Alligator mississippiensis: one gene and its partners. The protein of the gene in region 2 interacts with the protein of the main gene of each other region in a pairwise test. Links are inferred from orthologs where the notes say so. Each region holds a gene or a part of one and is shown on either strand. Other genes may lie near its edges.

Region 1 (7,739 bases), on a different chromosome or scaffold from region 2:
TTCTCAAGTTTCCTTTTCAGTACTGAGCTTGTACACAAAATGCCTCTATGCTGGTGTAAACAAGGAGGAGGAACATGAGGTACATTAGACTCAGGTGTAGTGTTCCCTGGGTGCAAATTACACTGGTGTAGGTGTCCAAGGAAACCTATTAGGTTATTACTTTGCCCCTAATAGGTGAGAGACAGTGGTGAGAGACAGTGTCATATTGACTACTGTAGCAGCTTCCCTGGGATAACTGGTCATCCAGCCACCCCAGATCCCAGTGCAGTTCTCATTGTAGTATAAGACTGAAGTAAATTACACCAGTGTTAACATGCTGTGTCCAGGCCTGAAGTCATTTTGTGGACCTGGGGCTTTATTCCTTCTAGCCTACCCACTTGTATTGTTTAGTGGATCTTAAATTTTGTTGCTCTCAATTTCATTTTTTCAGACACGATAGCTGCATTCAGACAATTAAGCTCCAATCTGAATGAAGGTAGATGTTACATAAACAAAACTTATTAAGCAATCTTCCAGGTCCACTGAAGATCAACAGCAAGATGCCTTTTGACTTCAGTGGGGCTAGGATTTCATGTACAGTGTTTTGGAAATTAATGCTCTACCAAAAAGAAAGCAAACATTAAATAACATGGCAGAACCATGTTTTAAAACTCTTTTTAGGAATTTGCTAACAATTTAATTTTATGAAGCACTATAATTTTGGCACATCACCAAAAATGAGACAATTACAATTAATCCCTTGAAAAATAACTTGTTTCGCTTTCTACGTTATCCCAATATCAACATTCATATTTTTAATTAAGGACCAAATTCTGCTTATCATAAGCACTTATGCTTCATTTGTGGCTCAACGCTGATGGTGCTCGAGCAAAACAACAGAACACTGATGATGCATAGCAACATGCAAAATGAAACCCCAGGTAAGGAAAATTTTAGTTCCTTACAATAGTTGCTTGTTACAAGTATACTCCACCTGTTTTTCACAGCATTTACAGCTTCCAGAAAACTTCTTCATGTTGTTTTCAACATCTAGGGCCCTTTGGGGATATGATCTTTCTTTCTTAGCCACACTTCCCCGGCAGAGAGGACAATGCGTTCCACTTTCTCTGACAGCTGTCAGGAAACATTTCCTGCAAAACCTAAATCAAAATTAACAGAGACCTAAATTACTAAAATTGAAATAGTGTTAGCCAACTATTTTTCTGCTTTGGTATTGAGGAGGCAAATGACGAACTCCGCAGGAACTCCGCAGGGTTCACGGTAAGCGCTAGAAGTCTGTCCATTAAATATAAGTCTACTTCAGTGATATACTGAAACACGGATTTTAAGTAATAGGATGTTTGGCAATTCATTTGATGCAGAGATTTTACTATCTAATTCTAGCACTGCTGAGCTGTTCACCATGATTGGCCGTTCAGGTGATACCTGGGCTTGTGAGCCAAGAAAAACTGTACCAGGCTGGCTCCTGTTTACTATTCCTATATAGAGACCCAAATGCTGCAAACCGACCCTCCTGTGAATGTTCCCGCAGCTTTCAGTTGGTCACATTTACTTCTCCCCCTCCCTTACTTCCAGTATACAGCTTCATTAAAATTCAAGGCACCATATTTCAAAGAAACATCCACCCACAAGTTTGGGCAATGCTGGAGCCTGCCATTAAGCATCCACCTGAACCAACAGAGGCTTTACGGCCAAGTGGATGGGAACCAGCCAAAAACTGCGGGGCTGGAAGGGAACCTTATCCCTACTACACGACTGGTCCAATAAGACAGACGTCCCCAACCCTTGCGCTACGGCCTGGTACCTGGCTGCAAAGGGTTGGCTGCTGGACTGGAAGTCCAGAACAGATCAGCATACTGCAGACAACCCTTTTTCATACTGAGTATAAAAAAAGGGTTGGCTGCCAGTGTCTGCGGTATGCTGGTCTGCAGTTTGCTGGTCTGTGGTCTAAAAAGGTTGGGAGCCACTGCAATAAGGGACTGCCCCAAGAGATCCTCCCCTCTGGCATCACTTCTGGACCATGGACTGTCATGTCTACAACATCACTCTTAGGCTCCTGTGGCAAGGTTGCAAAGATGCCTCTAGGGAGGATGAGAACAGCCGGGACAAGGGGGAGGGGAGTGAAACAGGGCTGTTAACCCCCCTGTGCTCCTTCCCTAGGAATGAAGCAGAGTGGAGGTGGGCAGTCTTACTGCATCCCACTGCCACAGGGCAATGAAGCTTGGGGGGGTGGGGGGGTGTCCGCTTTGGTGGATCGCACTCCTTCAGACCAGGGCCTGGATCTCAAAGGTGGGGGGTGTCGCAGGCCATGTGCGCGTGTGGGCATGGATTGAGAGAGTGAGATGGTGGCTGGATCTCAGGCTCTGTGGGTTTTTAGGGCAGGGTCTGGATCCCAGACTGGGGGTGGGTTGTGGGGGGGCGCGTGTGTATGTATTAGGGGCTAGATAGGGGGAGAGGGCATAAGTGTGTGAGATCCCAGACTCGGCCTGTGTTTGAGGGGCAGGGCCTGGATCCCAGACTATGGTGTGTGTGTAATGGGGGCTAGATGCACACCCCTGGGCCTAGCATGTGATCCCAGGCTGTGCATGGCTCCCAGGCCATGGTGGGTGTGTATGTAATGGGGGCTGGATGCCCGGCTGGGGGGAAGCACGTGCGGTCCCGGGCTGTGCGCGTCTGCGAGGCAGGGTCCGGCGCTCCGGCCGCGCGTGCGATCGCACGTGTGGGGAGCTACCCGGGGGTGCGGCGGGCCCGGGTCGCAGCCCCGCGTGCCCGGGGGGAGGGGGGGGGAATGGAGGGTTACGCACACATGCCGGCACAGCAGGGTCCTCACGGGCGTCCGCAGCACGTCGCGGCACACAGGGCAGTAGAAATCCTCCTCCTCGCTCCCGCTGCTGCTGGTGCTGCTGCCCGCGCCCGCCTCTTCGGCCATGGCAGCGCCGCGGCCTCCGGCGCGGGGATCCGGCCCGGCGCGGCCGTCTCCGCCTGCCCGGCGCCGCGGCGGTCACAGGGCGGGGCCCGGGTCTGGGTCCCTCCGCCGCCGGCGCCGTGGGCGGGGCGGGTCTCCGTGGTGACGCCCGGGCCCGCGCGGGGGATTGTTGTGGCACAGGCGCAGTGGGCCGCCCCGCGCCGCAAAGGCAGGGCTGGTCTCGTCCAGGCCATGGCTTTCATGTGCCGCCCCCTCCCCCCCCCCCGCGTGTCCAGGTGCTGTCAGGACTCAGCGTGGGCAGTTGCTGGAGCTGGGAGGCCCCTGCTTTGTGAGACCCGCGGCCCCAACTGGGCCTGGTGCAGCCCCGTGGCTCGGAGCCCCATCCTCTCAGTGCTCCCCGCCACAGGGGAGGGGAGAGACCCTGCTGCACATGCAGGTGAAAGCTGGGTAGCAACTAGCTATAAAGTTTGTGCATTTTCATGGTCTACCTTCATAGTTGATGGGAGCTTTTTACGGTGTGATAGCTACCTGGCATGTGTTACTGGTATGCAGATAATTGCACAATTAACCAGGTAATTGTGTGGTACCTGTAATGTGAAGAGGAGGCAAACATTAGTCCCAGGGCACAGCCAGTTTGTGGTCTACCCTCAGGTATTCATTTAAGGAAGAAGAGTGAGGTGGGTGGATAGTGGGGCAGAGGGAGAAGAAGCCCTTGACAGATGAAACAAGCCACGCAAGGGCAGCAGACATACACCTCGTGGTTTGCAGAAGTGCAGGACTAAACTTGGAGGAATTTGCTAGGGATGCACCTAGTTCTGAAATTCTACATCTAACACCTGAGATTGGCAGTTCTCAACCAGGATGTTGCAGCACCCCGGGGTGCCTTGACATTCTTCGGTAGTACAGGTTTCCCTCGCTTCATGCTGTACGTGCATTCCTGGAAAAGGGCGCATTAACTCGAATTCGCATAAAGAACCCACTTTACAATGCAACAAAGATATGTTCCAAGACCTTGACTGTACTGGCCCCCAGACCCATTTTTATCAGGCAATTTTGGTACTTGCTAACAGCAGACAGTGCGCACAAGCACAGGAGGTGGTGAATATTACCATAATGGGGATGGCAACTACACGTGTACACGTGATGTGTCGCGGACAACAAGCGAGGAGCATGGATCCACACAGCAGACTATATTTTGGTGCACATCACTCCCATAATGCACCATACAAAGCAGCTGACTACAGGCCTCTACCACACTGATTGCATAAAAGTGAATTTACCTCACATATAACTCATTTTTGGTATAAAAAGGGTCATCGCATAAGAGAAAATTTGCACATACAAAACCTGCATAAAGTGAGGGAAACCTGTATTGGAATTATGTTGTTGCCATGATGGTCCAGGAATTAAGTGAGAGGCCAGGATTTCTTAAGGTGATGTCTTTCATTGGACCAACTGCATAGTTGGGGTAGAGTTAGACAAGCTTTCAAATGCAGGACATCCTTTATCAGGTCTGAGTAGTAAAAGCCAGCATGGCAGTCCTTGAAACCCTTTCCATGAGATGCCATTCAATGTTAGCATTGTTAGGTGTTCAAACACAATTCAGAACATAAAACCAGTTGTTTAAAATAGGAATCTATAGTGTTAAAAACAATCTAACCAAAGCAGATAAAGGAGGGTGCAGGGCTGAGGAACAGTTTATCAGAGTTAATGGGGCAATTTACATTGACCAAGCATGGGATTAACAGCCATTCTGCAGCCTTAAGTGCCCATTGTGGTTCCATTTTGCCTGACCTAGCAATTAACAGGTGTTTATCATTAAGGGTGCACCCACCTACCCCACCAGGTGGGGTGAACTGAAATTAATTAGGTGGTTTTCTAGCAAAAATCTTAAAGCTGCAGCCTGAGGCAGAGACCTCAGGCAGTCCCCAGAACATCAAGCCCCCTGGAATACAGAAGTAGGGATCTAGGAAGCCCCTTCTGCTGCCTCCCCCCGCCTTGCCCTGAGAGCTGCACTGTGTCCCCTACCTGCCCAGCATGTGTCAGGGTGCATACTGGTGTTGCATAGCTCCTGGGAAAAAGCAGCAGAACACAGTGATCCCCAGCCCTCAGTGGGCAGACTGCCTCTGCCCCACACACAAACCCAGAGGCCACATGCCCTCCCCTGGGAGTGTGTGCAGTGGCAAGAAGCTGCACCTTCCCCATGCCTCTTGGGTCAGAAGCATGGAGCATAGGCAGTGCCAGGAGGCTGCTGGTCGGGAGTGAGGGGCATCAGCATGGCCTAGGAGGCGGGGTACTGTGGATTGGGAGTGAGGGGCAGCAGCAGGGCTGGCGGGGTGGGGGAGTGCTGTCCCTTAGGAGTGAGTGGCAGGGCCAGGGCAAGGGCATATTATTGCTCCCCCCACAGTCATATTCCTTTTCCCCTCCTCCCCACCCAAATACGTATGTGTCCTCTTTTTTGAAACTGGAAATATGGTAACCCTAGTCTAGATCCATCCTCTTTGGAACTACCCTTCAGGTAGTTGAAAGCTGCCATTAAATCCCCTCAGGGTCTTCATGCCCGGTAAGGAAATCCTAGGGTAACATGGGGCTCTTGCCCCTAAGGCTGCTGGGCAAGGTACTTATTCCCATTCTGTGATGGCAGTGCCACAGCACTCCAATACCTAAAAGGTGGCTGTTCTTAGAACTGTTTTGGAAGTGGACACCTCTGCACTGCAACAGTTGTGAACTGGTTCCTAATCAATGACATTCTCAGAACAGTTCAGCCCTCGTGTGTCTGCACCCAGGTTTCATCAACCTCTACTGCTAACCTCTACTGAGGATTGAACAAGAGGAGAATCTAAACCGTCTGGATGCAAGAGGATCTGGTGTCTGTCTCACTGCTCCCATATAACTGTACCAGACACCATAGTGAAGTCCACAGTTTCAGATTTATTACGTTTTAAATTTTGGAGCCCCTGGGCATTAGCCCAATACAAACACTAGCAGTCCGTAGTTAAATAATTGCTCTTCTTTTGATTGCTTCCTACTGCTGCTATAAAACAGTCATATTGACAACTTTCTCCACATTTAAGGTTTTCGTACTTCTGAATCCCACCAACTTGTTGATATCCTCCTTGTGTGGAGATAATTCAGGATCTCAGAGCACCATTTCAGAAATCATGTAAAAATGGACCGTCTCATGTTCTATTAGATATTAGGAAAATTTTTCTCACTTGGAAAGTAGTAAAGTACTGGAGCAGGTTACCCAAGGAGATTGTGGAATCTCCATCCTTGGAGGTTTTAAGACCTGTCTAAACAAAGCCTTGGGTGAGATGATCTAGTTGGGGATGGTCCTGCTTTGTTGGACTGGATGACCTCTTGAGCTCCCTTCCAACCCTAATTTTCTATGTTTCTATGATACATATTGAAACTGCTGGATATTCAGCCCTAATTTTCATTGGCTGTATGTACATACATGTGTTTCTGTTGCAATTAATTGTAAGCTCATAATAAATTTGCCATTTACTTATCACCTAAAATTATCTCTCAGCCTATTTTCTAATTTTCTTCCTTATGCCTCTGGGCTCAGGGAGACTCATCTGCCACTGCTGCTGTCCTGGATGTTCCAGCTTTGCTCCAGCTGGGGCTGCAGGGAGCAGCTGCATGGGGAGACAAACCCAGTCAGGGACAGTGGTGCCAGTAGGTGGATTCTCTGTCCCTGAGCCTGCTCTCAGACTGGTGAAGAACACCTGGCAGGAAGGAAGAATCCAGTGTCCTTGTCCCCAGGGGTAGCTAAAGGCAGGAGTACGGGCAGTGGCAGGTGGGGAATCAGAGGGGAGTTGGGGGGAGGTCCCACTGAGCATGGAGGGGAAGTAATGGGGTACCAAAAGAGGTGGATACATACCTGCTTAAAAGTAGCAAAAGAGGTAGATACAAACCTGCTTCAAAGTCCCTACCTGCTGCTTCTGTGGCTTGGTCTGAAAGCCACCACACCCCCTCTGGATCTGCCCCTATAGTGTTTGGAACCGTAGTGTTGTGTCATGTGTCAGAAATATTTTTACTTTAGGTGCTTCCATCCAGTTACCCCTTTATTTGTCCTTGTAACTTCATAACTGTAATTTATGACTGTGAGGCTGGTCATTGCATTTCAGTTTAAGCAAAAGGGCTGATTCTAAAGCAGGGGCGGGCAATTATTTCGGGCGGAGGGCTGCTTACTGAGTTTTGGCAAGCCATCAAGGGCCGCATGACAGGCACCCGGGGCAGACAAATATTAATTTTCTAAATTTTTTAGGGGCTCCATGGGCTAGATAGAATGGCCTGGTGGGCTGCATCCGCCCATGGACCGCATTTTGCCCACCCCTGTTCTAAAGTATACTGGGGGAGAAATGGTGACTGTCTCCCTCCTTTCCAGCTTGTAATTCCCCACACACTCGTTGATGCCTTGTGTAGTGAAGCTAGTCCAAAATTGGAAGGACTTTCATAGGTCATGTTTGCTCCCAGGTTGAATCTGTGTGTTCGCATTACTACCTACTCTGCAGCATTTGCAATAGCTCCTAGTGTGGAGGTTGGGGATTTATCTTAAATAAACCCTCTGTCTTTACTGTCTTTAGGCCCTGGCTATATACAAAACACCTGACCTGAGCTGCATCCTGTTTGATATCCAGGCCCCATCCTGTGGTCACTGAATAACATGTGCCCCAGTGCTCCAATTCATGGGTAGGTTTAGAAGATGGAGTTTTTAGCAGCTTTCTCTGTATTTGTTCAAATCTTTTCTATGAGGAGTCTGTAAAGTGGGAATTATTTGGATATGACCCCCTATTCCTAAAGAGAT
Region 2 (7,404 bases):
CAGCGCTCTTTCCTGCCTGGAGCAGGGGGTCAGACCCGATGATCTGCCAGGTCCCTCCAACCCTAGAAATCTATGAAACCAATAAGGAAAGTAAATTCTGTCATGAATGCAATAAGCCAGCTCCTGTAACTATCCCTTGCACTGAGTAAGGAAGTTCCACTCCTCCAGAAGACTAGTCTTTTAATCTCCAGCCCCACTTTAATCTGTTTTCATTTTGCTGCCTTTATTTAATTTGGTTCTGGTAATATCTTGTAACTTTACAATACCATATATAACACTGAAAATGTTTTTTTAAAATTGTACGATGCTCAACACCTGCTGAACTAAATCCAGTTCTCAAGGACCACTATATCAAGCAACCACCATGATTTCTCCGTCCAATAAGCTATCATTGTATAGATGAATCCCTACCTTCTGTTCAGTTACCTGTGGCAGTGGTCCCACAGCCTACAGCAAAATAAAGTGTTAAGTGCTCTTCTACCTGTGTTGCCCCTCAGGCCCATTTAGGAGATGAGAACAGGGCCTGTACTCTTTGTTCCCCTACTTCCCTGTGTTTAAAGACAATTTAAAATGCTTTAATCCAAAAAATGTATATATTCTCTCCAGATTAGAAGCTTAATTAGTCTACCCTTGAAGACCAACATGATGAAAAACTAGTGAAATGACACCACAAGAGAATAGGCTGAAATCTGAGCAACTGATGCCTTGTCTAGACTAGGATTTAGAGTATTATATGAGTTAGCATGCTTGTGCATTTTAAAGAGTAGACAAAGTGCATTACTTTTAACACACATCAAGCGGGGGGGGGGTCAAAGACTTTATTTAACATCATATTGCATGTTAAAGGCAACATATGCCTTGCCTACACTAACATCTTAAAACTTGGTCGCTTTGTTAACAATCTACATTTTAGTTACTTGTATAGGAAGGGCTAGAAGAGAAAGTACATTTATTCCTACTGTTTAAAAAACATTTTGGGCACATCTATTTAGTTCCAATACTTAAGGGAAACTAGATTAAAAGAATGTCTTTGTTCAAAATTCAACATCCTACTCCTTCAGTTAGCTGTGAGCTCTTACACTTTAAATAAGGCAAGCAGCACAAAAATCATGGTTTGGGAAAATTATTTAAGGTCTTTTCACACAAATTAGGTTATTTTAAAGACAGACTCAAAGGACATTTCTAGACAAAGAAACAGAAGGTATTTAGGATTGTGTGCGTTTCCTAGTTATGCTTTTGTAATTTACAAATCTTCCTTTTGCTAAACTTAAAAGTGAAAACTGGGCCAACAACGTATTGTAAATTCTTCAGTTGAAGAAGAAACTGAAGGATATACCTATGTTCCGAGACCAGACTGGCAAATTTTGCATGTACAGTGTTTATTTCCACATCACAATGGGATGCCAAGCCAACGTTGTGGTATCTCTGGAAAAACAGACTAAGGTGGCCAGTTTTCAGGTTAACACGCTACTCGGAGCATAAAATCTAGTAAGTGTAAATAAATATCAGAATTTTTTAAAGAAAGACTATAGTTTTTAACAATTAATATTTCTTCACATGATTTTTTTTCCCCAACTACTCTTTCTTGATAGGTAACCTAGTCTGAAATTTAGGCTGTCAATCCCTAAAGCTGTTTAAAAGAAAGTTTTCCAGCCTCCTTTGACTGGTCAGAAGTCATCCCACCATTCACCAATTCACATTTTCATGTTCTAGAACACGAACTGTTTACCAAAAAAAAAAACACAAAAAAGAAGTCACACCAAGATATCCCTCAGTAATCAGAATGCAATGTCACTATTCTAAACATCCATAACAACCTACACAACTCGCTTATTCAAAATGCCAGCCTAATGCGTAACCTGTAAGCAGCGATTATGTATAGATTGGTAGACAACGACTCATATTTGGCTCAGTACCGACATGTGTCGTGCATCTTCCATGCTTAATTCAGAGGCAGAAATTCCGCAAGACTCACAGCCACGCCAATACACAGGATTCGGTCACATGAGATGAGCGTCTTGAAGACTTGCGTATTTTCAGTGCACTAGAGTGCCCAGTGCATATGCTAACAAGAATGAAGAAAAACTTGCTCACTAGACCCAAGCCTCTTTATAAGAAAAACTACACAGACCTGAATGTGCCTCTCATACCTGAACACGTTGTGGCCTACACTACAGTTTCCCTTTCTCTAATGCAAGGGAGAAAGTATTTAAAACTTTTCAACAGTGTTTTCTCATTAACACCATCAGGGCTGGTCCAAAGAAAGCAAAACCTTGAAGGGACTCTCCTTTCAGTATGTGGCAGGTAGCCACCCACCCAGACATGCTTCCTAGGTAGCCCCAAGCCAGCTCCCCCAGGGAAATCAAAGGGCGGGCTGCAGGGAGGCTGTACAACTGGGCCTTCGGATGCCTTCAAAAGGCTGCTGGGAGCTGCACAGCCTTAGCAGGCTCAATTCAAAGGCAGGTCAACCCCGGCGCCTCCCAGGCGGGGGACGGACGGCGTCCAGGACCAGGGTTGGGTTCCTCCGCGCTCCCTGGGCCGGGTCCGCCCGCCCGTGGGGACACCAGGGAGGCTCCTACCCAGGTCCCCAAAGTTTCCTAACGCGTCCCCAGCCGGGCAACGCAGGACACTGTCACCCCGGGAAGGGCCGAGCGGGGCCCTCAGGGGCTGAGGCCCGGGGGGCAAGGCAACCCGGGGCCTGGCCAGGCTGAGAGCGGTGGGGCCAGCGCGGCCCAGCCCCGAGGGCCCCAGAGACAGGGGGCCGGGCCGGGCCGACCCGGGGGCAGTGGCAGCCGCCCCCCGCGCAGGCGCACGCAAGGAGCCGGGGGGGGGGTGCTCTGACCTCCTCGCTCTTCAGCACCTCCTTGAACTCCCGCTTGATCCTCTGCACCGCGATGTTGGCCATGTCCGCAGCGGACACCGCCCCGCACCCGCTGCCGCCGAGCCAAGCCGAGCCGAGTCGGGCCCCGCGAGCTCCGCCGCCGCCGCCGCCGCCGGATAAGTCCCGGCCCCACCAAAATGGCGGCGGCGCCGAGCATGCGCGCTGTAGCGCCCGCCACTCAGGAGGGGCCGTGGGTGCGGGCCCGGCCCGCTCCAGCTCCGGCTCCAGCTCCGGCTCCTGCTCCCACTCCCCGAGCCCTGTGCGAGGCCACCGAGCTTCTGCCGTCTGTCCGCGAGGACCGCACCGCCGGGGCTGGGGCCAGGTTGTGATGGCACCGGTGTGATATCGCCCCCGGCCGCGCTGTTGCGTCCAGCTAGCGCCCCCGGCCCGGCCTCCCCTCCGCGCCCCGGGCGGCTGCGGCGGCGGGAAGGAAGAGGCGGCTGCGGCGGGTGATGAGGCGCGGGGTGAAGCCCCGGGGCCGGAGCGGTCTCCCCAGAGCCCCTGGGCGGGGGTGATTATGAAGGGCCTTCCCTTGAGGACCCTTTGCAGAAGAGCCCGGCTCTCTCGTGCCCCCCAGCCTGAGGGCGCGGGGGGACTTGGGGGCTGGCAGCTGTGGGGAGGCTGTGGCAGCAACTGTCCCTTCTGCTGCCTTGCACCCCAGGGAGGACTGCGCATGCTGGCCCGGCTCCTGTTCTCTTGTACAGTACTACAGAGCCACTGCACCAGGAGAGAGGGATGAGGGACTCTTAAGTCAGAGGGCCCCATGAATACGCTGGTCAAGGAGCATGAGGCAGCAGTGGTGACAGAAAGGCAGGCCGCTACGGTTCAGGAGCACGAGTAACATGGAAGGACACCTTCAGAAGTGGGTTCTGCCTGGTTGCTGAAAAGCAAAGCAACTCAAAGCAGTTTCACAGAAGAGCGGTGAGAGCTGGTTGTATAGGAAACCACAGTCAGGGATTGCCCTGGGCAGTAGTGACAGACCTTGAATCTGCACTTCCTTGACCTTAAGTGCTAGAGACTGCAAGTGGGACAGAAATGGTGTGAAGAAAAACCCTGGTCATACCCGGTTTGCTCGCCCTTTCAGCATCTGATCTCTGCTACTGTGTGATATAGGCCTCTTTGATGTGAACAGGACCTCAGGGTTACAGTGGACATTAAACTGAATATGAGCGAGCAGTGTGCCCTTGTTGCCAGGAAGGCTAACAGCAAACTGGGCTGTATTAGTAGCAGCATTGCCAGCAGATCAAGGGCAGTGATTATTCCCCTCTATTTGGCACCACTGAGGTGTACCACCTGGAGTACTGTGTTCAGTTTTGGGCCCCCTGCTACAAAAAGGATGTGGACAAATTGCAGAGTCCAGCAGAATGCAACAGAAATACTTGCCGGGCTGGGGTACATGGTTTCTGAGGAGAGGCTGAGAAAACTGGGTTTTATATAGTCTAGAAAAAAAGACAGGGGATTTCATAATGGCCTTCAATTACTTAAAGGGGGGTTGTTCCAAAGAGGATGGAGCTAGACTGCTCTCAGTGGTGGCAGATGACAGGACAAGGAGCAATGGTCTCAAGTTGCAGCAAGGGAAGTTCAGGTTAGATATTAGGAAAAAATTTCTCACTAGGTGTGTGGTAAAGCACTGGAACAGGTTAGCCAGAGAGGTTGTGGAATCTCCATCCTTAAAGGTTTTTAAGTCCTGAGTAGATAAAGCCTCAGCTAGGATGATATAGTTGGGGGGTGGTCCTGCTTCGAGCAGGGGGTTGGACTAGATGTGACCTTCTGAGGTCCCTTCCAACACCAATTTTCTATGATTTTATGTGCATTGGGAATGTGAGCCAGTGCCCACCAAGTAAAACTAAAAGCCCCACTTAGTATGGGGGGCCATTAAGTACACACCAAGTGATTACAGAGGACAAATAAAGAAGAAAACAGGAATGGGAATGAAAGTCAAAGGTTTAAAAAGAGTGCACCAAGGGAGGACACAAAGCAGAGCATACTGGATACTGCCCACTGGCCTCTGAATGAGTCCAAGGAGCCAGTAGACACTGCCCAGTGAAACCCTGCCCAGATTTGTGAACAGCTCATGGATAGGAAAATGGCCACAAAGTCCCCAGGGATCCTCCCAGCCAGAGCCCCTTTCCTGGTCAGGTAGATCGCTAGCTGTGTGACATAGGATACTGGGCAAGATGGACCTCTGGCAGGGGTGGGCAAAATATGGCCTATGGACTGGATCCAGCCTGCCAAGGGATTTTATCTGGCCTGAAGCAGGTCCCTTGGCCCTGTCCGGCCCAGACACAGGGTAGGGGGGTGCAGCCCAGGCCGTGGCATATACACCTGGTCCTGCTGCCCCTAGGCACACAGCAGGGCTGGGGTAGCGCAGCAGCCAGACTCTGCTTTCCTGTAACTTTGGCAGCGGCAGCTCTATACACCCCCATGGGCAGGGTGCGCTCGGTCAGGTGGATGGGATGGGATAGGATGGAATGGGATGGGGCCACTGGCAGGAAACAGCAATCGGGCAGGATGGGTAGGCAGGGCCGGGACCAAAATTGCAGGATGGTGACAGCACGGAGCCAGGGCCTGAGCAAAGATATACTCTCCGCACAATGGATCATGACCAGCCCAGCCCAAGAGTGGGGTGGAGTGCATACCCGTGACCTGGCCCCTGCTGCCCCTGCCCCATCACAGCACATGCAGACAGCCAAAGTATAATGTGGCTGTAAAGCAGCCCTGATAAATCATGACCAAATCAGGCTACCCCACATTGCTGGGCTGTGCCGCTCCACAGCCACACTGTACTGGGGCTAGCCATGCACAACTGTGCTGGGGTCGGGGCTGGGTCATGGGTGTGTGCTCTGTCCCCCTCCTGGGCAGGGCCAATCATGATCCATTGTGTGGGGAGTGGATCATGGCTTGGCCCTGTGCCCGGCCCTAGCCCTGCACTGTCACCAATTTTCCATCCTGGCCCCATCCCTATCCACCCATCCCACTCTGGATGCCGCTCCCTGCCTGCCCACAGTCCCATCTCATCCACCCGGGTGAGTGCACCCTGCCCACAGGGGTCCCAGGCCAGTCTAGTAACCTACCACTTAGGGAGTTCTGGTGAGCTGTTGCAGGTTGGGGGAGTGAGGGTGCCAACCTGGCACAGCAGTGGGGGTTGCTGAATGGGTCCACAACAGCTCACCAAAACTCCCTAAGTGGCCCTCCAACCCAAATAATTTCTCTCCTTTGACCTATGGTCTGATCCAGTAAAAGGTAATTCTTATGTAATGCTGTGAATGTTGTATCTGGCCAGTTTGGGAAGCCATCCGTGTAGTCTCAATAAATGCTATAGGGAATGGATTCTTTAGAACTGATTCCAGTGGCTTGTAGTTGAACTCAGCTGTAGCATGGCTGCAATGTATGCATACTGTTGTTTGTTTGTTTCCAGCCCTTCATACAATGTGCTTAGTGCTGCACAAAACAACAATGATACAGGCTCTGTTAACAAAACTGCTGACAACAAAATAAAGCTGTACTTTTTATTTTGGTGAGCACTCTTCCTCCACAACATAACTAATGTGTGGTCTCTTTCCCTGGGATAACATTGTCCCATGCATGTTCTTAGCTGTATCCATTTGTACAATTAATTTTTTAGTATCAAATTTGCTTTTGACACAATATATAACACTTACAAAGGGAGGCCTAATCTTGTGGTTAAAAGACCCTATCAGTCACAAGATCTAGATTTGCTTCCTTTTTCTCAGGCTTTGTGTGATCTTGGGCAAAAAAATGAGGCCTACATCTTCAGAGATATTCCAGCATCCAGCTACTATTGCTGTAATTATCAAGCAGAGTGTTGTAAGATCTTTTTAAGGATGAGGTGCTGCACAATACTGGTATTAGTACTGTAAGGTGTACAAACACCTACACAATGCACAAAATAAACTGAGAGATTTCAAATAGGACTCCATAGTGTCAAAAACATTCAGAACTGTTGTGTTCTTTCTGAGTTTTTTTCAGCAAAAGAATTATTCCATTATTTTTTCATAGTCAAAAAGGATTGAATGTTCAAAGCAGTGCCTTGAGTCTAAAAATGTTGAAAACCACTATCCTGTTGACTTAACTGGAAGTTACATGCTTAAACAACTACAGGTCTCTGGGCCCTAGCATCTCTGTACGTCAGTTCCACAGGGGTATAATGGGGAAGATAATGGTTTTCCACCAGATAGAAGTTTTGTAAAGATAAAGTTTGTAAGGTGCTGAGGTACAGACAGTCCTTGACTTACAACGTTTTGAGTTACAACGTTTCGCACTTACAACATTTATAAATTGACACCCTGTTTCAACTTTCTGACATCAGTTTCGACTTTACAACGCTTGATCTGATGTGACACCATGGCAGCGAACAAGTCGCTGTGTCGCCCATCTCCCTGGAGAACATCTGTCCAAACTTCCTTGGACACTTCCTTTAAGAAATCAGACAAGACTCTAGAAAAACCTGCAGCCTAGACTCCTGAGAAGACTCCAGCCAAAAACCCTTCAAAAAGTCCAAC
Region 3 (7,625 bases), on a different chromosome or scaffold from region 2:
CTGAGTGGGCATGAGGCCCCCTCACCGTGGCTAGCTGGGACTGTGGTCTCTCCCCATAGGCACCCTCCCACAGGACCACCCCAGAGCAGCTCCCTGTGTGGCACTGTGGGCTCGGCCAAGTGCCTGCTGGTGCCATGTGACCCATGTATCAACACGTGTGAAGTGCCCGGCTGAGGGGCAGCAGGGCCTGCTCAGATCTGGGGCCAACCCAGCTCCTGCCCCTGGCATCTGGCTGGGCTCACTTAGGCACAGACCCATCTCCTCTGTCTCCAGGAGCCTTCTGAACAGCTCGTGGGGTCTCCAGGGTGGGGAGGGGAAAGCCATTTGCCTCTGCTCTGGGGCGCTAACTGCATGCTGGCACCAAGGCCTGGTCTCCCCACGGCCAAGGGCAGTGTGGTATGAGCTGGGCAGGGCAGGGGATCTGTTCTCTGGGGCTCAAGCCTGGGAGTCAGCAGGTGGTACCTCCTTCCTGGCAGATCAATGAGCTGAGCCAGGTGCCGCTGCCCATCATGCTGCTGCCCGATGACTTCAAGGCAAACTCTAAGATCAAGGTGAACAACCACCTCTTCAACCGGTGAGTCCCACCCTCCTCTGCCACCCCTGGGCAGGGTTGAGCTCTGAGTGCCCCCAAGGCCAGAATCCGTGGGTTGTCCATTCATCTGCCCCCCCACTCCCAGTGATCCAGGCTGGGGGTGCGTGGGATGGATAGGGGCAACCGCAGGCCATGTCGGAGCCAGCCCAACCCTGCTTCCCCTGGCATTGGTCCCACAAGCCGTGGCATCCAGGCCTATAGCTGAATGCTGACCCTACCCCCCCACCCCAGGGAGAACCTGCCCAGCCACTTCAAGTTCAAGGAGTACTGCCCCCAAGTCTTCCGCAACCTGCGCGAGCGCTTTGGCATCGATGACCAGGACTTCCAGGTGGGGGCGTCATGCTGGGGCTGTGTGTGCGCTTGCATGCACATATGCCCCCTCCTGCATAACCACATGTGTGTGTGCTCACATGCATACATGGACCCCCCCAGTGAGTATCCCCTAGGAACCACCCAGCCTCTCCCTCTGCACACAAATGCGCACACACATGCACCCCCCTGCACATGTGTGTGCACACATGCACCACCCCACCATGCTTGGGCATGGCGTGTGGTGTGATGGTGAGGGAGGGGTTAGGGGTTCCCTGGGTTTCACTGCAGCCTCCCAACCAGGTAGCAGCAGTGTCCCCTCTCCGGGCTCATTGGTGCCATGCCAATGTCTGTGCCTACTCGAGGGGCAGGCTGGGCTTTTTCCAGGCAGAGTTGACTTTAGCAGGGCTCATGTGCTCCCCGCCCCCAGGTGTCACTGACCCGCAGCCCCCCCCAGTACGAAGGTGAGGGCAGCGACCGGCGCTTCCTGCTCTCCTGGGACCGGACGCTGGTGGTTAAAGAGATCTCGAGTGAGGATGTGGCTGATGTGCACAGCCTGCTCTCGCACTACCACCAGGTACAGCCAGGGTGGGGCTTGGGAACCAGGAGTGGGGCAGGTCAGGGAGATGGGCCAGCTGGATGTGGCCAGGCCAGGGGTCCAGAGGTATGTGGTTGGGGCCTGGAGCAGGGCGGCGAGGTGCCTGGCTCTGACGTGCTCCCCCCTCCCCCTGCAGTACGTGGTGCAGTGCCACGGGAACACGCTGCTGCCACAGTTCCTGGGCATGTTCCGCACAGGCGTGGACAGCGAGGAGCGCTACGTGCTGGCCATGCGCAACATGTTCAGCCACCGCCTGCCCGTGCATCGGAAGTATGACCTCAAGGTAACACCCGGGGTGGACGGGCTGGCTCTGGGAACAGTCCCCACCATGACCCCCTTCCCTGCAGCTGCCAGCCGCAGCCCTTATTGCACTCCCCCCTAGTACCTTGCCTTGGAGCTAACACTGTGTCTGTTTCCCCCCTCACCTTTGCAGGGCTCCCTAGTGTCCCGAGAAGCCAGTGACAAAGAGAAGGTAATGGTGGGGGGGGATCCTTTTTCTCTCCCTCCACACTGCAGACTAAGCTGAGTGCTTCTGGGCTCTTAGCCCTGCTGCCCCCTGCCCACCTGGCCCCACCACCCCACAACGAGGTTGCTGCCTTCCTAGGCTGTGGCCTGACCCATTCCCAGGTCTCCTGGCAGAGAGGGTGCAGCTTGCGGTGCCTGGCTCTGATGCAGGGGCAGTGATGTGCCCCTCCACCCCCATTGCACAGCTCTGTGTGAGGCTGTGGGCTCCTCCTGTGCTCTCACGTGTAGCCTCCCTCCCAATCCAGGGAAAGGACCTGCCCACGCTGAAGGACATGGACTTCCTGAACAAAAATGAGAGGGTCTACGTGGGCGAGGAGGCCAAGCGGGAGTTCCTGGAGAAGCTCAAGAGGGATGTGGAGGTTGGTGGCATTGAGGGCAAGGGCCCTTGGGCTTGTCCCAGCCTGAGATGAGGGGTTTGTGCAGACATGGGCAGGGGCTGTGGGGCTGGGGGCTCCTGGCAAATGGCCACATGGGCAAAAACCTCCCATGGGGTTTGCAGAGGCCTGTGGTGGGGGCAGACAGGAAGAAAGACCTTTGGCATCTGCCACTGGGCCTCATGAAAGTGAAGCAGTGCTGGCTCATGGTCTGGCCCCCTTCCCCCTGTTCATCATCCCCACCCCCCCGCAGTTCTTGGTGCAGCTGAAGATCATGGACTACAGCCTGCTGCTGGGCATCCACGAGGTGCCGCGGGCCGAGGAGGAGGATGAGCCTGAGGATGAGGACGGGGGAGACAATGGCACTGCTGGCCTTTACGGCGCCTCCCCCGAGGGCCTCGGCATTGCCGGCGACTTTGGCGCCCACCGCGCCCTGGGCCCCGGCGACTTCGACTCGCGTGTGGATGTGTATGCTGTCCGCAGCCAGGGTGAGCAGGCACCGGGGTGCTAGGTGGGTGGGGGGCTCAGGTGGCACGGGGGAAGAGGGGTCTGTACCTGTCTCACACCCCCGTCTCACTCAGGCGGGCCCTGCTGTGAGGTGTACTTCATGGGCCTCATCGACATCCTCACCCAGTACGATGCCAAGAAGAAAGCGGCACACGCAGCCAAGACTGTCAAGCATGGGGTGAGCTGCGGGGGGGAGGTTTGGATCCCCCTGCAGGGGCTGTGGCTTCCCAGGCATCCCTGGTTTGCCAGAAGCTGCCCAGGATTGAGGCCAGGGCAGGCAGTGCGTGGGCCTGGGGGTTTGCAGGTAGCTGCTAGCATTTGGCCTTGGAGTGAGGGGCGGAGGGGCTGGGGCACGAGTGCAGACTGTGGCTGGGGGAGTGGGGTAAGAGCTGGCTGGGGTGGGGGCTGGGCCTGTCTTGGGGTGCTGACGCTGCCCCCTGCACAGGCCGGCGCTGAGATCTCGACGGTGCACCCGGAGCAGTACGCCAAGCGCTTCCTGGACTTCATCACCAACATCTTTGCTTAGCCCCATGGCCACTGGGTCACTCCCCTGCTCCTCTAGACCCCCCCCTCCCCCACACTCCCTGGTGTTTGCTGGGCAGACGCGGGGAGCCGGCCCCCCCTGCCCTGGCTGCAGCGGATCCCAGTGTCCTGGTGTGGATCAAGTGCCTTATCTTTATAACCCCTGGTTGGGGGGGGAGGGGGGGCGAGGGCTGCCCCCTACTCAGAGCTGCTGCTGCTGCTGTTGGTGGTGGAGGAGGAGGAGGTTGTGCTGCTAGTGAGAGGTGGGGAATCCTGCCCCCCACCCCCCCATTGACTCACTGACCCGCTGCTCCCTGGATCTGGGGTCACAGCCTAGGCAAAGGCCCCCACCTGCCCACTTCAATGGGCTGTGGGGCTGCTGGTAGAGGGGGTTCCCCCAGCACCTGTGGGCAGTGGGTCCTAAGGCCCTGCCACCCTGCAGTGGGGAGGGTCTGACAAACACTAATACCTCCCCCCAGCCCCTGGGGCTGCCCCCAAGTCCTCACCTCCACGAAGCTGTCCCAGTGCCCCCCCAGGCTGTGTTGGGAGCAGGGGCTATGCCCTGGGGGGGGCATGCTCAGGGGAGGGGGGCTGTTGGGGGGGGGGGGCAGGGGGGCCACATTCCTGTTCACTCTATTGATAGAAATAAATTATTGACTATGAGGCTGTGTGTGCTGTTGTGGGGGAGGGGGGGCAGTGCCGGGGGGGGGGGGGGGGGCAGTAGCTGTGGGGGTAATAGCTGCTATTGGGTGGTAGGTAACTGCCCCTAGGTTTTTTGGGGGGAACGTGGGGGGGGCAGTAATGGTAGGGGGGGCAGTTGGGTGCCTCCCAGCTGGGGGTGGCAATAGCTGTAGTGGGGGGGGAGCTGGGGGCTAATAGCAATGGGGGGCAATAGTTGCAGCTGGGGGTATTGCAGGGTGGGGGGAGCTGGGTCCCCCTTGGTTTGGGGGGGCAGCAGCTGGCGGGGTGTTAGCAATGGGGGGTACCGCAGGGTTGTGGGGGGGCAGGGCTCAGAGGCCTGGGGCCCCCGCCGCCGGGCTGCCCCACTTCGGGGGGGTCCACGCTGCCCTGACCCCTCCCCTTCCCCCCGCGGGGGTTTCCATAGCAACACCCCCCCCCCGCTGCTGCTGCTGCTGCGCGCGTGCCCCGTCGCCCACCTGATCCGGGCCCGGCCCCCCCCCCCCGCCCCCCCGTTGCCATGGCCGGGCCCGTCCCCCGGCAACGCGGCGCCACGTGACCCCCGCCATGGCCGCGCCGAGGGCAGGTCGGTGATGCTGGGGGGCCCGGGCGGGGCCGTGCGGGGCGGGCGGCGGGGGGGCTCGGCCCGGGCTCCATTGTGTGTGGGGGGGCGATGAATGATTGACAGCCCCCCTGGAGTGGGGGGGGCGCTCCCAGCCGGGGGGGGCGCTGGGCCCGGGCCTTTGTTCCTGCTCGGAGCCCCCACGTTTGCAGGCCTGGAGGCCGGGGGGAGGGGCCCGAGCCGGGGAGGGGGGCATTTGCACCCGGGGGGGTGTAGTTGTATGGGGGGGGCCTCCCCAGCCCCCTCCCCGCGATGCAGCCGGCTCTGGGCCGCGGCCTGCACTCCCCCCCCCCCCCGTTTTTGTATGGGCTTTGCCTGCCCCCTTTGCATGGGCTGGGGGCACTGGGGGGGTCATAGTCACTGCCTTGTTATGATAGGGATTGTGGGGGGGGCACAGGCTGGCCGGGGGTGTTTTGGGGTTTCCTGGGTCCCTTTCACAAGGGGGGGTGGTCTCTGTGCCGGGGGGTTTGGGGGTCACAGCCCCCCCCCTCCTTCCTACAATGAGGCTGCCGGGGGTGGGGGGGAGCTGCCTCCAGCCCAGGTGGTGCGGGCGGGATGTGCCCCCCGTGGCTCCCTGGGGCTGTGGTACGGGCCAAGGGTGCTGGCGGGTGCGTTGCTGGGGTCCGGGGGGGCGGCAGTGGTCCCCCAGTGCCCCCCCGACCGCGCTGAAATGCAGCCAGCTCTGGGGTGGTGCCAGGCCTGGTCCCAGGGTCCTCGCGCAAGCATTTGGGAGGGGAAGTGGAGACCCCCACATGTGCCCCCGTCTCACCTGGGGGGTCCAGGCTTGCCTGTGTCTCCGGGGTGGGTTGGGGGGTCTAGGGCAGACCCTCCCCTGGGGCTCAGTCTGTGCTGTATGGACTGGGAGGGTGACCCCTGCCTCAGGGGCGGAGCCTATGAGATAGTCCCGCCCCCAGGGCATGTGGCTGCTGACCCAGATTGGCTAGAGCTGTCAGGCTTGTGGGGCGGGTGCAGGGTAGGGCCCCGTCCCAGGCCCCTCCCCGTGGTCCATATAGCACCGACTCAGCCCGGGCCAGGGGCCAGTTTCCAGGGAGCAGGTTGTGCCCAGGGGAGAGCCTGGGGGACCCTTGTGTGCCAGGCTTGGGGGGCATGGGTAGTTCATTGCTGGGGGGCTCTGCCCACAGGCCTGGGGGGGCCTGCACAGGACAGGGGTCTGGGGTGGGGGAAGGGTGCATCTCCTTACCCCCTTTTGTCCCCCCAGGGGTTCCCGGCGCCCGGCTGTGCTGAGCTCTGCTCCCCAGCGCCTCTGGCTGCAGCTTCTTCCATGGGCTCCCCAGGTGGGTACCGTGCCCCCCGCAAGTGTGATGCCATTGGGCCCTATTGGGGGGGGGCGGGGGGGGTCTAGGCCAGGCTGGTGGGCTGCCAGGGGCGGGGCAAGGCTCTGTACTGGGCCTTGGTAGATTCTGCCCCGCGCCCCCTCCTATCAAGTCCCTTTCTGCACCCCTTGGCAGCCCCCCTTATGAATGGCAGCAGCTGGGGAGGGGGTCATTGCCCTCTCTGCATGGCGGGGGAGGGGCAGGGAGGCCAAGGGGGCTAGAAGGGCCCTTCTTGGGGGTCCCGACCAGCTGTGTGCCCATCGCAGTCCTGTCCCCCCTGCACCTGCCTAGACAGGATGGTGATGGGCATGGGGTTGATGTCTGTGTATGCCCATATCCCTGTGTGTGTCTGGGCCTGTGTTCATGTGGGCACATGTCTGCCTCTGTGTGTGAACGGCCATGTGCAAGTCCGTGCCGTGTCCCCGTCCATGCATGTGGCTATGTACATGTCCCTCCATGCACGTGCTCACATGCCTGTACATGTGTGAACCCATGTGAGTGCATGTTCCTGTGTGTGCGTCCACATGTGTGCCCATGTGCAAGTCCATGCGTGAGTTGGTGTGTTTGCCTGTATGCCCACCCATATTTGTGCTCATCCATGCCTGTGCCCATGTCCATGTGTGTGCCCATGGCCATGTATCTCTCCACACACGTGCCCATGTGCATGTCCATGCATGAGGCTATGTGTGTCCCCATGTGCATATCCATGTGTCCTTGTCCGTATGCATGCCCATGTGTGTCCCTGTGCATATGTCCCTGCATGTGCTTGTACATGTGTGTGCCTACATGTATGTATGTATGTATGTGAGTCCATAGAAATGTGTCCACATGTGTGTTCATGTGCCTATCCCTACATGTGTCCATGTGTGTGCCCATCCATGTATGTGGCTATGTAAAGTTGAGGCCTTGCATATGCCCACGTGCATGTCCATGCATGAATCCATGCATGTGCCCACATGTGCCCTCGTCTATGTGCATGTCCATGCGTATGCCTGTGCATGCCAATGCCCGCATGTGCCCATGTACATGTGAGTCCATGCGGGTGCATATATGTGCTCATGCCCACAGGTGTGTCCACATGCGTGCCTGTGGCCATGCACGTCTCCAAGCATGTGCGTCCATGTGCATATCATCCACGTGTATGTGTCCACATGTGTGCCCTTGTCCACATGTATGTGCTTGTGTGCGTGTCTGTGTGTGTGCCCATTTATGTGTCCTTGCGTGTCCATTCACGCATGTGCCCATGTGAGTCCTTGCGGGCACTTGTGCCCATGGCCATGGACATCTCCATGCCTGTGCCACATGCACGTCCATGTGGGTGCCTATATACAGGTGCGTCCATAGCCACGTGTGTCTCCACGCGTGTGCCCACGCCCCACACTGATCCCTTTCCCCCCACAGTGTCCTTTGTGCTGTCCCGCATGGCGGCCTGTGGGGGTGCAGGGGCCAAGAGCCGCCTGACAGTGCCGAAGCCGGTGTGGGACTTCCTGACGCAGCAGAGCCCGGGCAAGCTGGCGCGGCTGCGCGAGGCTACGCCCGTCAGCATCCTCATTGACGGTGAGAC
Region 4 (7,560 bases), on a different chromosome or scaffold from region 2:
CCCAGCGGGAAGATGGACTCGGGAATCAGGACCACATGAGCACTGGGAGCAGGGGGCACAGGATCAGGCTGGGTCTTGCAGCCCCCCCTCCACAGAGAACCCAGGTGTCCAGGCCCCCAGCCCCCCACTCTCACCCCCCAGATACAGAGAGAACCCAGGCATCTGGGCCCCCAGCCCCCCGCTCTCAACCCCCAACGCAGACAGGACCCAGGCATCCAGGCACTCACCCCTTGTCATAGGTGAAGGCGGCGCGCAGGTACTCAGCCGTTGTCTCGCCCACAAACACAGCCGGGATTGAGACCTGCTCCCTCACGCGCTCTGGGGACAGCAGGGGATCAGGGGGGGGCATGGTCTCCACTCCCCCCCAGGGATTGAACCCAGGTGTCCGGGGCGGCCCCGACCCCCACTCACCGTCGTTCCAGACCATGTTGAGCAGGTTGTCGGAGCCGACGTTGTGCACCACAGCTGCGCCAAAGCCAGCCTGCTGTGCGTGCAGCACCTGGGGGGCACAGGAGGGTCATGAGGGACCCAACGGTCCAGGTGCCCAGCCCCCCACCCCTGGAGGACCCAAGCTTCCGGGCGCACCTTGAGGTCGAAGTCGCAGTCGTAGCGGCGCACAAGGGCCACAAAGACGCTGGCATTGGGGCCCGGTGGCGGCTCCAGGGTTTGGCACGCATTGCTGGGCCGCGCCTCCACCAGGAAGCCCTGGTTGGGGAGGGCCACACTGGGACCCAGGCATCCAGGCCCCGCAACCCAAAACCAGAGAGTACCCAGGCATCTGGGCCCCTGACCCCCACTGCCCCTCCCCAGCCCAGACAGGACCCAGGCATCCAGGTCCCCGACTCCCATTATCCCCACTAGGCATCCAGGACCCCTCTGCCCCGCCAGCACAGGCAGAACCCAGGCTTCCAGCCCCCCGCCCGAGAACCCAGGCCCAGCCCCCTACCCCCACCCCCAGGAGGAAACCCAGGCATCTGGGCACGCACCAGGAGGCCAAGGCGGGGCAGTGGCGCCCCAAAGATTGCGGGCAGGTCCGAGAAGTCCATGCTGGAGTTGTGCTCTGACACCTGCAAAGGGTTGTGTGATGGTGGGGGGCACTGCAAAGGGTCCTGGGGTGAAGCTACAAAGGACTGTGGGTAGTTTGGGGACAGAGGGGGGGCATAATCAGGCTGCAAAGGAGCCTGGGATATTGGGAAGGTGTGGGGCAGCTGCAAGGAATTGTGGGATACTGGGGGGGTGCAGCTGCAAAGCAGGGTGGGACACTGGGAGGTTGCTATACAGTTGCAAAGTATCATGGGGCAGTAGGATACTACTATACAGCTGCAAAGAAGCATGGGGGGACTGGGGTGCAGCTGCAATGGACTGTGGGATATTGTAAAGGATCATGGGATACTGAGAGGCCAGCGTGAAGCTGCAAAGCATTATGGGATACTGAGAGGCTACTGCACAGCTGCAAAGTACTGTGGGATGCAGGGAGGCCACGGAGCAGCTGGAAAGCATCATGGAAAGTCAGGAGACTGGGGCCCAGTTCCAAAGGACTGTGAGATATCAGGAGATCGGGGGCCCAGCTGCAAAGCATTGTGGGACATCAGGAGGCCAAGATGCAGCAGCTGCAAAGGATGCTGGGACATCGGCAGGGCCAGGACACAGCTGCAAAGGACACTGGGGTGTCAGGGGAACAACGTGCAGCTCCAAAGGACTGCGGGACATTGGGAGATTGGGGCACAGCTGCAAAGCATCATGGGCCAGCAGGAGGCCAGGGCATGGCTGCAAAGGCCTGTGGGATACTGGGGGTCCCCCCACCCCCATCCCACTCACGGCATGGATGTAGGCAGTGGCAGGAGGCAGCAGCAGGACGAGGGGCACCAGCAGGGCAGCGATGACCAGGGGCCACGATGACCTGAGGGCAGGAGCATACCAGAGTCAGGGGGCAGGGCCAATCCTGGACACCTGGGTCCCGTGCTCCCAGCCCCACGCCCTGCACGTAGCCGGGGCAGTCGCATGCCCTGGGCTGGGAGCCCAGACACCTGGGTTCTCTCCAGGTGGTGGTGGTGGGGGCAACACCCTGCCCCTTCCAGCCCCCTGCCCCCCACAAGTCTGGCAAAGACCCCAGGCGTCCAGGCTCTAATCCCCTAGAACCACTGAGAGCCCAGGAAAGAGCCCGGGGTCCGGGGCCCCACCCCCACTTCCAACCATTACACACACAGAGCAGGGGCCTCAAGCGTGGCCAGAGGGAGTGGGGGCTGGGCAGTGCCTGGGAGGGGCCCGATCCTGGCTTGGAAGGAGCCAGCTACACCCAGAGGACCCTGATCCCAACCTAGGGGGCCCAATCCTGACCAGAGGGGCTAGGCAGTGCCTGGTGGCCCCAAAAAGCCCCTGGGAGGTCCCAATCACAGCTCGAGGGGCCCAATCCTGCCCCAGGGGCTGGGAGGGGGCGAGGTCCTGGCAAGCCGGGGCAGGCTGAGGGCGTGGGGGATGAGGCCCAGCCGGTGCAGTAACAAGCCCAAGCAGTACCTCGTGGGTGTCATGGGAATGGCAGGGGTGAGGCAGGCGGCACCCCACATCCAACCCCCCACGCAGAGCCAGGATGGGGCCCCAGGCATCCAGGCCCTTCCAGGACCACCCCGAGGCCTATGCCCGCAGTCCAGCAGCCCCCCAGGCTCAAACTGAGCCCCTGGATGCCCCCATTACCACCCCCCAGTTGCCCCCCCCAGCTATTCCCTGACCCCCCAGCAGTCCCCAGATGCCCCCCTCTCCCCCCAACTACCTGCCCTACCCCTCACCTGCTCATGATGGGGCCGGGGGGGGGGGGTCCCCTCACTCAGGCCTGGCTCACGGGAGTCCCCCCCCCAGCAGGCAGCAGAGGGCTCCCTCCGTCAGTGACGTCAGCGGGGTTCCCTGGGCGCAGCAGCAGGGGGCTTCCCCGGCCGCAGCAGGGGGCGCCCTCTGGGTAGGGGGAGGGGGTTCGGCTCCCTGCCTGTGTTTACCAGGCCGGCGCGCGGATCTCGCGAGAGCAGGTGGGAGCCACGCCCCCTCCTGGAATGTGCCCCGCCCCCAGGAATGCGGGCGGGGTGAGCGGACGTCCGGATTCCTCCTCCGGGGTTCAGTGGGGCGGGAGAGCCGGGGGGGGATCCCTGCCCCAGCCGGTACTCCCGGGGATTATTGCTGGAGGGAAGAGTGGGGCAGGACCTCTCCCCAGGGTGATGCGGGACCCTGCGTGGACAGCATTAATCCCCGGGGATTAGGTCCAGACGAGGCCTAAAACTTGATCCCAAACGAGTATTAGCGGGAGCGCGTGGCTAGTGGTCTGGCCTTTGATTCCTAGAGCCATATGGAGCATTGACCCCTAGGAGTATTATGGAGTATCAACCCCCTGGGGCGTTATGAAGTATTGATCCCTTGGAGTATTGATCTCCTGGGGCACTGTGGGGTATTAGTTCCTGAAATCAATCGCTTGGAGTAGTATGGAGCATCAAACCCCTGGAATATTATGGACTATTGATTGCCAGGAGGGTTACAGAGCATTGACCCCCCCCAGGAGCACCATGGAGTATTGATCTGCTGGCATAACATGGAGCATGGCTCGCCAGAGGGATTGCGGAGTATCCATGCCCTGGAGTATTATGGAGTATTGGTCCTTGACCCGTAATAGTATTTCTGGAGCCCTGTAGCAAACAGACCCAGCAGGGGCTGAAGTGTGAGTGTTGGGGGGCTGTGGTCTGACGTATCAATCCATGGGGAGTATTATGGAGTATCAACCCCTGGAGCATTATTTCTGTTGGGGGAGTGTAGCATTCAACCCCCCCACCAGCACCTTTATTCTGTATCCCTGGGGTATTATGGAGTATCATTGCTACCAGATGCCGGTCCTATTTATGTCTCCCCCTGGAGGGTATTATCTTTATGCTCCTGGTTACTCCCCACTCTGGAATGGGCTTCCAAGAGAGGTGGTGCTGTCACCTAGCTTGGAGGTCTTCAAGAGGAGGCAGGGGGTCGGACACGATGTATTGTGGTACCTTCTGACTACAATCTATGAATAGAGATGCACCCCCCCAGTTCTCCAAGATGAGGGGGCTTCCCTCCTCTTGAATGGAGGTGGGGAATAAACCTCCTGTGATACTCGAGAGAGTACGGTAATGGGGAGTATTGGAGCCCTAACCATTAGCCCTCCCTCCCCCCAGACCCAGTGGCCCCGCCAACCTCTTCCCGCCAAAACGGGGGTCGAGGGCGGGGATCTGCGCGCGCAACTCTCTCCTCCACCTTCCCTGAATTCTTTAGTCCCCCGCCCTCCTGGATTCTTAGCTGCGCGCGCAGCCACCCTACCTCCGGAAGTCCTTCTGCCCCACTTCCGGGCCGTGAGCACCGCCTTTCCCGGGATTACCGGCCGCACTTCCGGACTGCGCGCGCAGCCCCCCCCCTCCCCCCCCCGGCGTGACCTTGGCCCGGGCCGCAGCGCGGGGCCGGCGATGGCGGTGGCGGCGGGGACGGGGGGGCCCGAGCGGGCGCGGACCTCGCCCCAGGCCGTCAAGTTCCTGTTCGGCGGCCTGGCCGGGTGAGAGCCGCCCCGCCCCATGGAGCCCCCAAAACTGAATTGGCCCCCCTAGGAGACCCCACAAACCTCCTTCTACCTTCCTGACCCCCCCCAACCCCCACAGGGATCTCTGAGGCTAGCTGATGCACCCCCTTCCATGGTCCCCCCCCAGCCCCCCTCCAAAGACACCTGCACCCCCATTCCCACCAATAAACCCCAGACACCCCCAAGGCAAGAAATGGGTGTCCCCCCTCACAATACAACCTCCACCCAGGGCAGAAATCTGCCCTGCCCCAGAATAACCTCCCACAAACCCCTGCTGAGGGGGGGGGGAGCTGTGGGGGGGGGGGACAGGGGAACCCAGCTTCCTCCAGGGTCACAAGCACCTGCCTCAGCTGGACCTTGACCCCAGGGGTTGATGTCCCCCTCGTTAATGGTTACAGGCTGGTGAGGGAGGGTCCCCAGTAGTGCCTGCCAAGCGTGACAGGGACCCAGGCCTCCGGACAGGGGGAGGAGATTTCAGGGTTGGGGTTGGAAGGAGATAGAGGGTCCCGCCCAGGCCTCCAGGGCATGGGGGTGGGACAGGGAATCCAGGCATCTGGGTCTGACCACCCTCCACCCTCTCCCCCACCAGGATGGGCGCTACAGTGTTTGTGCAGCCACTGGACCTGGTGAAGAACCGCATGCAGCTGAGCGGGGAGGGCGCCAAGACCCGCGAGTACCGCACCAGCTTCCACGCCGTGGGCAGCATCCTGCGCCACGAGGGCATTCGCGGCATCTACACCGGGTATGGGCACAGGGGAACCTATGTGCCTGGGGACCCTGCCTTGGGTATGGCCAGGACCCAGATGTCTGGAGCACCTACACTGGCTACAGCTAGGACCCAGGTGTCCAGGGCACCTAGGCTGGGTATGGGCAGGTGTCCAGGGGACCCAGGCATGTGGGGAGGAACCCACGTGTCTGGGGCATCTAATGCTAAGTACAGCCAGGGAACCCAGCTATCCAGCACCTAGAGTGGGTACAGGCAGCCATGCGGGGAACCCAGACATCTGGGGTACCTACCCCAGGTACAGCCAGGACCCAGGGGCCTGGGTTATCTCCACCTGACACAGGGCAGGGACCCAGGCATCCAAGGCCTCTCCATGGGGTGCTGGAGAAGGACCCAGACACCCAGGGCATGGACATGGGGCACTAGGGAGGGGACCCAGGCATCCGGGCCAGGTCTGACCCCCCTCCAAATGGCAGGCTGTCAGCGGGGCTGCTGCGCCAGGCCACCTACACGACGACACGGTTGGGCATCTACACCGTGCTGCTGGAGCGGCTGACGCGGGACGATGGTACACCGCCCCCCTTCCTGCTCAAGGCTGCACTGGGGATGGTGGCTGGTGCTGCCGGCGCTTTCGTGGGCACCCCTGCTGAGGTGGCACTTATCCGCATGACAGCAGACGGGCGGTGAGTGCCTTCCAACCTCTGACCTGGCACCCCCTGGCTTCTGGCTCTGAGCCCTCTCTGTGCCCTGACAGCCCCTGACTTCTGCCGCTCACCCCTCTCTGTGACCCCTGACCCCGCCCTCATCTTTGCTTGGTTTCCACTCCAGTGCCCCCTGACCCTTGTCATGGCACCTGCCCCTGACCCCTCTCTGTACCTTGGTGACTCTTGCCCTAGGTCCCTGCCTTCTATCTGCTCAGTCTTCACCCCAGTGCCCCCTGACCCTGCCTCTCTACTCCCTGGACCTGCCCTGGTGACCCCTGACTCCTGCCAACTCTCAGTGTCCCCTGACCTCTTATTTCTGCCTTCTCTCCACCCCCATGACCCCTGACCTCTCTTTGTGACACTTGACCCCCAGGACTCCCTCTCCCATTGCCCTGTGTCCTGAAGCTGCCCTGCCCCCTGTCTCTGGTCCCCAATGCCCCCTGACCCCTGCCCTCTGCCTCCCAGGCTGCCCCCTGACCAGAGGAGAGGCTACACCAATGTCTTCAATGCCCTGGTGCGGATCACCCGGGAGGAAGGCGTCTTCACACTCTGGAGGGTATGGCCAGGTCAGGGGTCAGGGGTCACAGGGACCCCCCCAACCCCTTCCTCATTCCCCACTTCCCCTACAGGGTTGTGTCCCTACCATGGCCCGGGCAGTGGTGGTGAACGCGGCACAGCTGGCCTCCTACTCCCAGTCCAAGCAGTTCCTGCTGGACTCCGGTAAGTTCCCCCTCCCCTCCTGGCCCCCCCCTTAACAAAGCCAGGAGTTGTTAGCAGCGCCCCCCTCCCCCAACTCCCTTCCTTTGTGTGCAGGGGGGTCTCACCCACCCCCTCCCTGCCAGGTTACTTCCGGGACGACATCCTTTGCCACTTCTGCGCCAGCATGATCAGTGGGCTGGTCACCACGGCTGCATCTATGCCCGTTGACATTGCCAAGACCCGGTGAGTCCTTGAGGAGGGGATGTTGGGGTGGGGGGCCCCAGCCTAGCCTGATTATGCCCCTCATGACCCTTGCCTTCCACCCCCCGGTCTCCTACCAGGATCCAGAACATGAGGATGATTGACGGCAAACCTGAGTATCGCAATGGACTGGTGAGTGGCTGGTGGGGAGGAGCCCTTGCCCCCCAGCAGGATCCTTGGGCAGCTACCCAGGGAGGGGTTTTAGATTTAGCCAGGGGGAAGAGGGACTACAGGTAGCTGGAGGAAAGATATATAGGTAGCCAAGGGGGTGCTCTGTTGATAGCCAGAGGGAAGGGGTGGAGTATATAGGTAGCCAGAGAGAAAGGGGGGCTGCTATAGGTAGCTGCAGGGTGGTCTGCTTCTGGCTGGAATAGCCTGGGCCAGTAGGGAACCCAAGCCATCTGGAGGTGACCCCGGTTGCTGGTGAGGGAGGGGTGGGTATCTGGGTCCCCCCTGACCTTCCCCCACCTCCTGTCCCCACTGCAGGATGTGCTGGCCAAGGTGGTGCGCTATGAGGGCTTCTTCAGCCTATGGAAGGGCTTCACACCATACTATGCCCGCCTGGGCCCCCACACCGTGCTCACCTTCATCTTCCT

The links.
Region 1: the proteins of UBE2K (region 2) and RNF138 interact in binary tests that used the Homo sapiens proteins (3 or more experiments, as listed by UniProt). The link is inferred for Alligator mississippiensis from reciprocal best matches to the Homo sapiens genes UBE2K and RNF138.
Region 3: the proteins of UBE2K (region 2) and DTX3 interact in binary tests that used the Homo sapiens proteins (3 or more experiments, as listed by UniProt). The link is inferred for Alligator mississippiensis from reciprocal best matches to the Homo sapiens genes UBE2K and DTX3.
Region 4: the proteins of UBE2K (region 2) and RNF167 interact in binary tests that used the Homo sapiens proteins (3 or more experiments, as listed by UniProt). The link is inferred for Alligator mississippiensis from reciprocal best matches to the Homo sapiens genes UBE2K and RNF167.

Annotation. Positions count from the first base shown.
Region 1 is NC_081826.1:81,008,632-81,016,370, forward strand, and holds the start of RNF138 (E3 ubiquitin-protein ligase RNF138), read right to left. Parts: upstream 3,016-7,739; 5' UTR 2,930-3,015; coding exon 2,805-2,929; intron 1,140-2,804; coding exon 974-1,139; intron 1-973. UniProt on the Homo sapiens protein: E3 ubiquitin-protein ligase involved in DNA damage response by promoting DNA resection and homologous recombination.
Region 2 is NC_081825.1:50,896,081-50,903,484, reverse strand, and holds the start of UBE2K (ubiquitin-conjugating enzyme E2 K), read right to left. Parts: upstream 3,009-7,404; 5' UTR 2,906-3,008; coding exon 2,843-2,905; intron 1-2,842. UniProt on the Homo sapiens protein: Accepts ubiquitin from the E1 complex and catalyzes its covalent attachment to other proteins. In vitro, in the presence or in the absence of BRCA1-BARD1 E3 ubiquitin-protein ligase complex, catalyzes the synthesis of 'Lys-48'-linked polyubiquitin chains.
Region 3 is NC_081838.1:7,399,808-7,407,432, forward strand, and holds the start of DTX3 (probable E3 ubiquitin-protein ligase DTX3), read left to right. Parts: upstream 1-4,609; 5' UTR 4,610-4,691; intron 4,692-5,946; 5' UTR 5,947-6,009; coding exon 6,010-6,022; intron 6,023-7,462; coding exon 7,463-7,625. Other genes in the region: PIP4K2C (phosphatidylinositol 5-phosphate 4-kinase type-2 gamma), read left to right, coding at 477-574, 824-920, 1,332-1,478, 1,636-1,782, 1,933-1,971, 2,270-2,383, 2,652-2,886, 2,980-3,083 and 1 more. UniProt on the Homo sapiens protein: Regulator of Notch signaling, a signaling pathway involved in cell-cell communications that regulates a broad spectrum of cell-fate determinations.
Region 4 is NC_081838.1:23,790,539-23,798,098, forward strand, and holds the start of RNF167 (E3 ubiquitin-protein ligase RNF167), read right to left. Parts: upstream 3,008-7,560; 5' UTR 2,792-3,007; coding exon 2,784-2,791; intron 1,901-2,783; coding exon 1,819-1,900; intron 1,068-1,818; coding exon 987-1,067; intron 706-986; coding exon 586-705; intron 500-585; coding exon 412-499; intron 319-411; coding exon 228-318; intron 43-227; coding exon 1-42. Other genes in the region: SLC25A11 (mitochondrial 2-oxoglutarate/malate carrier protein), read left to right, coding at 4,467-4,552, 5,166-5,318, 5,777-5,983, 6,470-6,560, 6,634-6,724, 6,847-6,946, 7,045-7,096, 7,451-7,560.